2 linked regions of the Arabidopsis thaliana genome follow. The protein of the gene in region 1 interacts with the protein of each later gene in a pairwise test. Each region holds a gene or a part of one and is shown on either strand. Other genes may lie near its edges.

Region 1 (7,262 bases):
CAAGCAAAAAAACTCACTGTAGCTAAAAGAAAACTACGGACCATGCCGTTATGCATCATCCAGAGAAGGATTACATTGATGATACTCAAATCTCTAATATTAAAGCTCATCAAGAATCTTACAAAACCTGGAGACCAGTGCTACTAAACAAGCTAGCACGAGCAGAGTGGTGATAGGATATATACCTTTAAAGCCTTGTCCTTCAGCTCTGGAAGCATATCTTTAGATGATTCATCAAGGGCTGTGACGAAGCGCTCATACCTACAAAGTCAGCATGCTAAGCTGTTAAACGAATCATCGACCCAGAACAATTACGGATAGAAGACACAGATCTTTGACATAGTGTGATTAAACACATCCCTCATGGCATGATTTGAGATCTTTACCTCTGTTTCAAGCAATCCTCCCAGTACCAAAACAGCAAAAGCGAGTAACCATCCTTATTTTCCGGAATGATGTTTAAAGGTCGCTGTAAAAGTGACTTCAGCTTGCGATCAGGTAATAACCTGAAGAAAGAATTTAAAAAACCTCAGTCAATGAGAAAAAGATGCAAGACTGACACATAAATCCATAGCTCATTGTGTGAGTAAGAAAAATGTGCCTGATCAAAATTTCTGATAGAGCCTTAAGACCCTTAAATGCAAATCTTTTTCCAACCTTTGAGGTCACCATTCCTGCAATGAACAGAGTAGATAATGTGAACAAGACATCAACAAAATGCTACAGAGGATTTCACCATTGAAAAACAAAACCAGAAACATACCCAATAAGGCATCAAGAGATCTCATATTTGCAATGGGATTCTCTCCAACCATAATCTCAAAGGCAGTGATTTTATCAGCAACTGTCCCAGACTTTTGAGCAGAAATCACCATCTTCATATCTCCACCTTTTCCTTTCGAAGTTGCAAAGTCCTCTGCGTATTGCCACATCAATCTCTCTCCTAATTCTCTCTTCTTCTCCACCACACCCTTAAAATCCTCCTTATTCGCCACCGCCACTTTCCGGCCACCAAACACCTTCTCCTCAAACTCAGCTGCATCGTTGTACCATTCAGAGCTCAATAAACTCGCTTTCACCAATGGTAACTTAGGCAAACTCTTGAATTCATCGAAACGTTTTTTCTTGTACCCAGTACTCTCATCATCAATCGATAAGAATCCAGGCTTTGGCTTCGGTTGTAACGTTTGCTTCACCGGTGCATCTTTGTTTTGCTTCCTCGCTCCAAAATCTTTTCCCTTTTCATTCCCAATGTTCGATTTTGGCTCTCCTTCTTCATCTTCATCCTTGTGTTGCTGATCCTTCTTAGGCTTTTTCCGTTTCTGGGTTTTGGATTTAGCTGGTTTTCGGAAATCAGTGTCGTTGAAACCCGAAGAAGGAAGAGCAGAAGCTAAGCCAATAGAAGAAGCGAATGATGCGATATCAGATGTGAGAAGACTCAAGTCCTGCGATGATTTACTCAAAGGCTTTATCTTTGACATTTTTTCTCAAAGCATATGAAGAGGGTTAAGAGAGTTTTGTGAGAGATGACTGTTTTTAAAAGAACTGAGACAGTTAGGTTTAAGCAATCTCTGTGCTTTGAGATCGAACAATGAAAAAGAAAGATAAACTTCAATGTTTGGGGTTCAACAGAAATTTTTAGGGTTTTAGAAAACGGCAAGAGAGAAGCAGACAGAGGAAATGGTAGAAGGCTAATTTCGTAATTACGGGATAAGACAAGGGCAAAACAGACTTAACGACCTAAAATCAATGAGACGATGTTTTTTCATTAAGGTTGGGTTCCTGAGACGGTCCAGCCCAATCGCTAGAACATTCAATGCAAATCCATAACTGGTGAGATTTCGATCATGTGGTAAAATATTATACTAATATCTTTGATAGAAACATTATATGTATATCTTTGAAACCTATTATAGGTTAATATACTTTTGCCACTTAGAAAAATTACTAACAACGCAAATCCATCACTGGTGAGATTATATCAGGTGATTAAAAAATTTCGATAAAGGGTAATCCAGATGACAATTTTAATTAAAGAATCTAAAAAACAAGTATCAAAATATGTATGTTTTGAAATATAAATACTAGCTACGTAATACAGTACTATAAATAACTTAAATTGGTCAAAAGTAATGGAAGAAAATATAAAAGGGTATTTGGGTTCAAATCCTAAATAAGTGAAAACTAGAAACGTGAACTCGATCGTGCATTTTATACGCCCTAAAGCTTGAGTTCAAGGTTTTTGGAAGATTGTCCTTCTTTCTTGTCCACCTCCATCGGCATATGGTTATGGGCCTTTGGTTTTGGAGGAGTTGCAATGTGTTGCGACGATTGGCCTGACTTTATCGATGGAGCAACCATCTCTGGCTTGGGAGGAAGATGACTACCGTGTTGGTTCACTTGATATGGAGCTCTAGCCACAGCCCTGAAATCAAAACAATTAATCAACATTTAAGACAAAGTAGATATTGAAGTTTTGATTTACAAAGAACTCTTAGTTAGTGTTTTTTAACTAGAAATTTCTCGACATTTTACTAATAATTTTCCTAGATCAAGGACACATAGATGATGGACTCATATCTCTTATATACTACTCTAGGTCCCATCTCGAATTTCATTGTAACTTGTAAGATTTTTTACATGTTCTTTATAAATGATGACACTTGAGTCACATCTCGAAATCTTACTCTAGGAATCATAATTCATAAACATACTAGGACCACCCTATGTTCAATTTCATGAATGTTCAACTTAAACTTGATTGGTAATACGCTTCTAATCCGATGTGGGATTCCTAGAATAACTCGAATAAGTCTTAATATGGTAATTATTAGCTATTTTTACATATAACTTTTTTAAGAAACTTTGATCCTAATCTATGCATACATTTTGACGAGCGGCCTAGAAAAAGCATAACCAAGCACAAAACAGTTTCGGAGTTTAGTTTACCTGTCTTTTCGTTTAGCAAAGAATCGATGAAGAGAAGCTCTTCTTGCAATGCGTTCCACAACCTGATGTTGCTGCCCAGTTTCTTGATCTTCATTGTTCCCGGAACTCGTTGGCTCGTTAAGATCGGGAATCACCACGTTGCTTTTGTCAAGATTCATGTGACTCTGACTGTTCTTAGAATCAACAGCAACATGATTCGCTTCTTTAGCTACTTCCATTATCTCCTTAGCTTTGTCTTCAGGAAACTCGTTGAAAACCATAACTTTTCCTCCAAAGAATATGGTCAACTGTGAATTTCCAGACTCCGGTGCTACTTTTGCCGGTTCACTAAAATCAAATCAAACCCATTTTTACAATTAGTCAAACTCCATAGTCCATACATCTATAACCGGTAGTTCTTTCTCTAATTCAATTGCTACAAAATGTGAAAACAAACACTTTAGGAGTTCGAATACATATGAAGTTTGTGTGTACAGTACCTGAGATCAATATATATGGCTTTGTCTTCGGTAGAAGTAGAGGCCTCACCAATAGAAAACTTCTGAATCAACTTGAACGGTCTAGTTTCTGAGGTCTCTACCTTCTTAATCACATTTTGTTGTCCTAAAACAAATTAGAACAGAAATTGCAAACCGATTAAAATTTATCAAAATCAAATTACATGTTTATTACGTTTTTTAAAAAACTTCACAGAATCTCTAACTTTAATATACTTAAGCTGTCCAAAATAATACCATGCTTAAGTTTAAAGAAAAGAAAAGAAAAAAATGATTTAAAATTTTGCATTTCAACAAAAAAAATATATAGTTAAACTTTATGCTAATAATCAACGAAGCAGGATACTAAAAGTATATGATATAAACTTTGGTCTTTATAGGCGGCGGCCGTCGGAATAGATAGGGAAAAATAAATAAATACCTTTGAGATCGAATTTTCCGGCGAGTTCAAGATCGGATTTTCGAGCCAACCCCATATTAATATTCCCAAAACTTCCCTTCTCCTTCAAGTACCGGCTGAGCAGACTACATCTCTGAGAAAAATTGGACTTCTCCGGCGCTTGTCCCGTTGACATACTAGTGTGATGAAGATTACAACAACCCAAGATTTTCTTGTGTGACTTCTTTACACGTACAAAAAATCGAGGATTCCAAAGAGTATGTAGATGTTTTGAGCTTTTTGCTCATGTGTTGTTGTTATAAATAACCAATTCTAGCCAATAAGTTTCTGTGGCTTTTAACCTCTCCCGAATAAATAAAGAAAACGAAATAACGTGTTCTTTTTTTTTATTTAGTCTGAAGTGACAGTGATGTGTGTCCAATATAGAATGTTTTTGTCACGAGTTTTGTAACTTTTTTTTTTACACCTAACTGATCGATAGACATTTTTTTTTTTTTTTTGAACACAAAACTGATCAATAGACTAAACACACATTTTTCTTATGATGGTTCAAGAAGAAGAAATTCTTTTTATGGTCAAACATATTATAGGCTATTAATTTCCTATATCCTCAAATGTTTTGTCACGAATAGAAATAGGGAAATAAATTATATGCGGAAAAAATGATTTATTCCTATGGTTGATTACAAAAATCAAACTACAATGTTCGTTACAAGTTCCGGCACGTTTTCATTGCACAAGCCGTGAAGAAACTGTTGTAAGTTGACGGCGACATTACATAAAGGCGTTAACCCATTTAATTCATTCGGGTCCCAAGAGTTTCTGTTAAATACTAATTTACCCTTCTGAGGTAATTCGTTTAGTGGTGGTTAGGATATTCGTTATTAAAGGGCGTAAATGAGGGCATTTGCAAACGCTATAGTCTAACGGAGTTCTGACGGAGTTAAGTCTCGCGTCGGCTGCGATGGCTAATACGAATTTAATATGTGGGATCCATTAGCAACAGTACGACTTGTGAGTGGATATTTATCGATGAATGGTGTCAATTACTTATCCCCGACAAAGTTTAAGGACACGTGAAGTATTGTTATGTGCGTTTAGGATGTCAACACGTGTCGGAATCTTGGCGGTACCAACCTTATTTCATGCATGATTTGCGTTTTTTTTCCCTCTTTGCTAAAGGATATTATAGCGTTCATACTTCATAGGCCTAATTTTCTTTTCTGTTTTTAATTACAAAAACTGAGTGTAATTAATATTAGAATTTGTGGTTTTGTATGTTGGTAAAAGGTTAACGATTTCTGTTTAGTCCTAATATGAATTTTGTTACTTGCTCAGTTAAATATTATTTCTATAACAATAATAATAATAAAATCTTTTAATCGTTTTGTTCAATGAAGTCGAGCGTTGAATTTTATTTGAATAAGAGGCAATGCCAAAGAGTACCAAAAAAGAATTTAAAACAAAATGTCGTAGACGATCGCGCCAAGGGAAAAAATCATTTTTATTGAATTATTTATCGCAACTTGCAAAATGAGAACATAATACTTTGAACTTTGAAGACTCTTCAATATCATATGATTTCAAGAGTTGAACAACAACTTGAGTCTAATATATACACATGTATGTGTGTATTTAATTACACAATATAGATCCATTGTCATTTTCTAATACATACAAAAGACCAAATAATATTCGCTATTTCACATGAAGATTATCTACATTGTTGGAAGCGCAAGTTGGGTTTCGATCACATATTTGATCATGTCCAAAATAAGGGAATGTCATATTCTAACAGATTTGATATGCAAAAATCAAGATTGTGAGAAGATTCTACTAAGACTACCAAACCAACGTTAACGGCAAAAAAGAAAAGGCAACGGCGAAACCTTCCGGTCACCACTCGAAGTTGGACTCTCCTTTAAGCAATAGAGTATATCAACATTTATCAAATAAATAGTTGTTGTTTTGAGACCTAAGTTCATATATGGACATAATCAAGATGGTGTCAACAGTTTTGGGTTAGGTGTGCTTCAGACTTAATCTTTGAGCTGGGTAAGATTTCCTTTCTATCTAGTGTTACGAGCTAGCGTGTCTCTGTAACAGGTTGTCTTCGGGTAAGTTTGGTCTTGCAGCTTGAGCTTGTGGTGGGAATTCTCTGTACAGTCGTTATCTTCATAAATAAAATGGTACTTATCAGAAAATAAAATAAAATTAGAAGACAATATTGAAAGATTATACAACTCATTTGCATTGACGTATGACAATACTAAACATAAAATTTGTTTAAAATTTAGGGGTAACGACTACGAATGTAGGTCCGTTTTACAACAATGACTAAAACAAATTGGTTCTTTGACACCGACAGATACTTTGGATGTGAACACCAAAATGTTGCAGCTTCTTCACATGCTCCTCTTGTACTATGACAATAACATATGTGCCTAAAGATTATCGCATATTAATAAGTATCCATTACATGCGGAACAGGAATAACATTTTTTCAACAATTGCATAATTGAAACCGGATAGAAATACAACAAGGACACTAAGTCAAATCATTAGAATACATGTCATGGTCTACAGAAAATTAATAGATTAGACAAATATTTTGTTTAGTTGCATATAATATCATGAGTAATTGAGTATTAGAGTATTTTACTCATGATACATAAGAAACTTATAACTATTCTTTCGATATTCTCATATTTGGAAATAGTTAGGAACTGTAAAAGCTAAAACTGATTGATGATTACATTTGGTGGCGTCAATTTGTTTTACATTTATCAAATTTCTTTCTTTTTTCGGCATAGGGATACATTTTTTGTCATGCTATAGTGAGTAAATTAGAAATCCGACATAACTAAGCATCAGGAGGAAAATCCAAATGATGAAGTGGTCCACTTAAAAGGTCACGTTAGCTAGAACTGAACCAAATGTTGTACGAGTTTTAAGATTATATGCTCTTGGTCCTAATGCCAAAACCATTTGTTTTTCCCATAAAATTTATTTACATGCGTTATCTTGTAGTATGGCAAAATTTGGAGTATCACTTAATAGTTTTCACACGTAACACGTAAAAAATATAGTTTTGATAGTTGGTTTTACAACACTTTTACTTGATAGTTGTTCTTACAACACTTATACTTGTAATTAAGTCACTTCTACGGTTTAAAAATTATTTATAGAAACGATAATCAACTTTGTCCAAGTTTGGGCTTGGAAACTAAAATCAACATTATTCATATGGGCCAACCAAAAATGCATATCTTTAGCTTATTTTTTATTCGCTCTTGCTTTTCTCAATCTTCTTGACTCTTTCAACGAACATTCGCGCCATAAGCTCCTAAGTTCCTCTCATCCAATGGATCACAAATGACAAAGAAAAACAAAAGACAGAGAAAACAGAGACAAAG
Region 2 (5,936 bases), on another chromosome or scaffold:
GTTTGGTTTCATCTGTACCTATTCAGATCCTTCTCTGTTTGTGTTTCTGAAAGGAAGAGATCTCATGTTCCTCTTGCTCTATATGGACGACATGCTTCTCACAGGCAACAATAGTGAACTGTTGGACACACTGCTTGTCTCTCTGAATAAAGAGTCCGCATGAAAGACATGGGAATGCTGCATTACTTTCTCGGAATTCAGGCTCATTTTCACTGAGAAGGGTTGTTCTTGCATCAAGAGAAATATGCTATGGATCTCCTTGTTGCAGCAGGAATGGCAGATTGTGCCCCAATGCCAACCCCTTTGCCTCTTCAATTGGATAAAGTTCCTGGTCAACAAGAAAGCTTTGCTGATCCTACTTATTTTCGGAGCTTGGCTGGTAAGTTACAATATCTTACTCTTACTCGTCCTGACATTCAATTTGCAGTCAATCTTGTGTGTCAAAAGATGCATTCCCCCACAGTTGCTGATTTCAATCTCCTCAAAAGAGTCTTACGCTATCTCAAAGGAAAAGTTCAAATGGGTCTCAACTTACACAACAACACGGATATCACTTTGCGTGCTTATAGTGATAGTGACTGGGCAAACTGCAAAGAGACTAGAAGATCTGTTGGTGGTTTCTGCACTTTTCTTGGCACTAACATAATCAGTTGGTCTGCAAAACGTCATCCAACAGTCTCAAGGTCCTCAACAGAAGCTGAGTATAGGACCCTCTCTATCGCAGCTACAGAAGTGAAGTGGATCTCATCTTTGCTTCGTGAAATAGGCATCTATCAACCTGCACCACCGGAGTTGTACTGTGACAACCTCTCTGCTGTCTACCTCACTGCAAATCCAGCAATGCACAACCGGTCTAAGGCCTTTGATGTTGATTTTCACTATGTTCGAGAACGTGTTGCCTTGGGAGCTTTGGTTGTCAAACATGTCCCTGCTTCTCATCAACTTGCAGACATCTTCACCAAGTCTCTTCCCCAACGTCCATTCTTTGACTTAAGGTACAAACTTGGCGTTGTTTTACCTCCCACACCAAGTTTGAGGGGGTGTGTGAATCAGAGAGAACCTCCTCTACAATCAGAAGCTTTGCTTTCTGCGAATGGACCTGCAACACTCAACAATACTTTGGGCCTCAGTCAAAGTGTCAAGCCCATCAACCTCAAGTCTTCTCTACCTTGCAACGGTAACAAGATTCCTCAATTTCCAGCGCATCAACGTACGGGATTCACAGCTAATCATTTGTCCCTTCATAACAAATTTGATCCTCTTTGTTCCTCTGTCGTGATGTGCAGCTAATGACGTGTGACCTAGTGTCTCACCATTTTGGGGTTCATATATAAACCCTTCTCTGTCATTGTAAACCTTAAGCTGAAATATTCAATAAAGAGATTTCTCTTCATCATCGTTTTATCAATACTTTCACTATTTTAGTCTTTCAATTACTTCTTTGTTATAGAATTTAACCACAACATTATCAATTTATTAACTATTAAGTAAGAGTTTGACATTATTCTTGCAGGTTTTCTGTACAACCAACCGTATCAATGGTATCAGGTTTTGACATGACATTACATAATTGAAGGTTTTGCTGTCGTTACATAGTAGTCAAAATCAAAGTGAATTATTTTACCAAAATAGTTGTTTAGATTTTAACCAAAGGAACAAAGGACACCGATAATGTTATGGTTATATATAATTTCCTTTCAACCAAAAAACAAAAAGGAAAGAAGAGGATTACATAAGGAATTGTGATGAAGTAGAGAGATTACAACAACATAACAGAAAGCTCAGTTAAAAAACTTTGGCTTGAGAGTTTGATCCGACTAAACATAATAAAATGTATGTTCCAAAAAGAAACTCATTACAAACCCTTCCATTTGTTTACAAGATTTCAGACATCTTTTTTTCCGGTGGTGACTTTTCAGGTGTGAGCTGACGCTGCAGTCATTCCCATGGATGATTCTGGGCTAACGTACTCCTCGCTTGCGTGCCGTACAAACTCCTCCGGTGACATGTGCGAGCCGTGGCAAGCGCATACGATTTTGATCTGGTTTGCGTTGTACCGGTATGTGACACCTGAGATTGTCCGTCCGTGTGGGCCTGAACCAGTGGTTGAGACCCACGGTAAGTTGGGACGTGCCCCGGATCCTCCAAACTTCACATCTGCTGCCATTCCAGGTTTTATGGCAGAAAAGTCGAAAGAGAAAGCGGTATTGAGGTTGCTGTTGTCTCCCGTTGGTCGTTCTGATGCATCCTCGGATGAACCTTCTTCTGCAACAGGTTGTTTGCCTTCGCCTTTTGCAGTAGCTTTTTGGAAGGAAAAGTTACTATTTTTGCTGTAAGAGTACTAAATCGTGTTTTAAGGGAAGGTTTTGCTTACCTGAGTTTGATGGAACTCTTCCAGCAAATGGAGATTGAGAAAGTGCGACAATCCCTCCTGAACCGTCCTTATCTAGCATAGGGAGCTGGACTGGTGAGTATCCGAACATAATCGGGAGATTTCCAGCATTAGCATTAGGCTGCAATAGACTTGTAGCTGCTGCGTGTTGTCCAGACTCTTTTGTCGGTAAAGAGTAAGGCATACTAGTGACGACATTTTGCGGATGAACTGTGAAAGGTACGGTGTAACTCATGTTGCGCATTGTAAACTCTTCAGTGCCAGATCCACCATGGTTGCTCCTCCTTTGACCAGTTAAGTTGTCCACAATGTTTGTATCAGTAGGAGGACGAACCACCTCCTTTGCGTGGTTGGAAGAAGAACCACCACCTACTTCAGACTCTGCTACATCTTCGTTTTCAGCTGTTGATCCTTCATCTGTCGCAGTTGAAACATGGGATGCTTTTGTCTTCTTCTCATGCATATCAACATGAGACGAGTCCTTCTCTTTTTTCTTATCATCATTCATCCCCGGGAACCCGAACTTTCTTTTGTTCCCTGCTTCTTTCCGTGACTCATCCTCCACCCACAAAGGTTTCGTAGAAGCTTCAGCCTCAGTTGTAGGAGCTTTTGAGAGGTCATTGAAGAAATTTTGTGGAGGCTGTTGACCCGAATCACTTCTCTGAGAACCAGAACTCGGCTCTGCAGGTCTTTGAGAAGTTGGATGCAGGAAGTTCTTAAAGTCATCAATCACTTTAGCACTTCTATCGCCTCCTTCTGCCCTGTAGTTCTCTGAGGAGCTTCCAGCATTATTATTATTGTTACCCTTAGCTTTTCCTGTTGATCCTCCACAAGAAAGACCCAAGCTGAGCTCGAGCCCATTATCATCGTCCATTTTTTCTCAAACTTTTTAAGCAAACTCTGAGCAGGTCAACAGATCTTCAGAGCACCGTCAACAATCTTGATTACCATCTGAGAAAAATACATCATGGGCAGAAAAGGACTCATTATCCAAAGCTAACCAATGGTTTCTAGAAAAAAGAATCAAACGCAAAGCTAAGAACTTTGAGAATCATAGATGGCTGCGGAAGTAAACTTCTTCTAAATTTATAAAAAGAAACACATCTGCTTGAACTTGCAACAAACATCACATGCTTTGCCAAAATCAATCCTAGTATTCAGTATAACAAATTAACAAGCTACCAGAACTCTCAGAAACATTGGACTCGGATAGTACCTTAGAAACAAAACCATTGAAAGAAACAATTCAGCAATTCTCCAGAAACTTTCTTCTCGCTCCTACCAAGTACCTTTTGAGTTCTGTGATAACAAAAAAAGACCATTTCTACAACTTAGGTTCTGAAAACCCCCAATATTCATCATTTCCATTTTGAGAAACTAAACTAAAATGGAAACAAAGCAAAGACACACATCACTCACACTTGTATGTCAGCTAACAAAAAAAAAAAAGGAATCAAAATCCAGAAATCAGAGTGAGAGATAGCACAAAGATCTAGTAACTGATAAGACACTATGCAGATCTGTCAGCTAAACGAGCTACATACGAAGAAACAAATCAATTGACTTTCTAAAGATCGAAATCATCAAAAGAATCATAACCTAGACGCGATCAGATTAAAACCCTGACCCCTAACTACACAGCAATAATGCCAAATCAGCTCAAATTAAATCACAATAAGCCGAATAAAGCTAAAACAGAAGCCGAAATCAGAATCGAGAAGATGAAAACCTGATGAAACCGAGGAAGAAGACGAACAAACCCTAGAGCTTCTTCGCAGCGTGGCGGCTCCTAGACAGTTGCATCAGCGATTGGGGCTTCTTCGGGTTCGGACAACTAGTACGGACCATTTCCCTTTTCCCTTCGTAATACTAATAATTATTATTTTATTGTACAATTAGTTTCGATTTCGTCCATGTGTATCTTGTGCATTTTCTTAACTTTTGAATAAATAACAATCGTATAGTCAGCATATATACTACATGTTTGCAATCATGAATATATTTGTACATTGTACATGTCCAATGCATGAATAGAAATACATGGGCCCAATTTTCTTTTTAAAGCCAAACTAGTCCATAACTATTCACATCTACCAACAGATTTTTCATTTCTTTAACAAGTTTTAGAGGAAACACATATGACATATCTTATGCGTTTTTATAAAGATATACTAAAAAGTTGGTCACATAGTATATAATCTATATTTTCTAGTCACCACTTTCTTTAGAATAGTTGGATAAGAGAGACAACATTACAAGATATGCTAAAACGATTTAATTACTCCATATGTGTGTAAATCGTCACTTAATTTAATACTTCAAAATTTCCTTCGAAAAAGACATAGCTAAAGATATGTGGGGATAATATATATATATATATATATAATAGTATCAAAAGCTGTTTGCCAAAAAAAAAAATTCAAAACGATAGGTTTATATATATATATATTTTAGATTGATTCATGATCAATAAAGTCGCTTTGGCCGAGTGGTTAAGGCGTGTGCCTGCTAAGTACATGGGGTTTCCCCGCGAGAGTTCGAATCTCTCAGGCGACGTTATCATTTTATTTTTGATATTTCCAGCTTTTTTTTCTTTGTCAGGCTTTTCCAGTTTTTTTTCCTCCTAAATTGACATGGTTTTATTTTTTTTGTACAAAAAATTGACATGTTTTTTTTTTAATACAAAAATTGACATGTTAAGACTTAAGACTAAAGAGGAAATTGGAAATTGGAAATTTGAATATTATAAAATAAAATTATCTTATGTTGTAAAATTTTAATGGCATGAAAATATGTTACTTATGTAAAAATAAAATAATGAAAACAAACATGGTTAATAATATTGAAAAGCTACAACATGAATAAATATATACTTTGATTGACTCATAAGCAATAAAGTTACATGGTTTTTTTTTTATTATTTCTGATGCTATTATTCATAGTTTTATAAGTTTGAAAAATAAATTAAAAAGGATCATTAACAATTCAAAGGATAAATAGACTTGTTTCTCTCTTTTTAATCGTCATATTAAATACCATAAGATGTCGAATTTTTCAACCTAATGTCTACGTTGATGATGTTGTGGCTATCCACCGTGAGACGGTGAAGAAGACCCCTCACCGTCTCCCACATACAAAATCGCCGCCGCCTATCACATTGTTTCAAAGAAACTCCTCCTCACCGACTTGCTCTCAATAGAAGTGAACTCCCATCTCCCAACCCTAGTCCCAGGAGCCTCCATCATCGTTACCAACAATTCACGATAATACAACTCTAAATATTATTCTCTCAGCTTCAACTTCTCATGAAAATCATATATGTTTTGTTACTCTTCAAAAATCCAAGGAATAAAATGATAGAAAAAAATATATTCTTAGAGCTCTTGGTGATTTCATACTTGTCTTGATTGATATCACAATATTCAGAACAAGTAATCACAAGTAGAAGACAAGCTTTAAAAAGAGGAAGAAGAAGAGACTTGTAGTTATTGCATTGAGAACAAGTAATCACAGATTCACAGTATAGTCGTCATCAAAGGACTTG

What was found.
Region 2: the proteins of JAZ6 (region 1) and NINJA interact in binary tests that used the Arabidopsis thaliana proteins (3 or more experiments, as listed by UniProt).

What each region holds. Positions count from the first base shown.
Region 1 is NC_003070.9:27,272,116-27,279,377, forward strand, and holds JAZ6 (jasmonate-zim-domain protein 6), read right to left. Parts: upstream 4,448-7,262; 5' UTR 4,022-4,447; coding exon 3,868-4,021; intron 3,553-3,867; coding exon 3,429-3,552; intron 3,277-3,428; coding exon 2,950-3,276; coding exon of another isoform or gene 2,946-2,949; exon of another isoform or gene 2,426-2,945; coding exon 2,221-2,425; 3' UTR 1,853-2,220; downstream 1-1,852. Other genes in the region: EDA25 (CCAAT-binding factor), read right to left, coding at 186-261, 387-506, 602-674, 764-1,481. UniProt on the Arabidopsis thaliana protein: Repressor of jasmonate responses.
Region 2 is NC_003075.7:14,262,415-14,268,350, forward strand, and holds NINJA (Putative interactor of JAZ), read right to left. Parts: upstream 4,373-5,936; 5' UTR 4,122-4,372; intron 3,731-4,121; exon of another isoform or gene 3,692-3,730; 5' UTR 3,609-3,691; intron 3,344-3,608; 5' UTR 3,267-3,343; coding exon 2,375-3,266; intron 2,302-2,374; coding exon 1,916-2,301; 3' UTR 1,620-1,915; downstream 1-1,619. UniProt on the Arabidopsis thaliana protein: Acts as a transcriptional repressor. Negative regulator of jasmonate responses. Connects the JAZ proteins and the non-JAZ protein TIFY8 with the TOPLESS corepressors.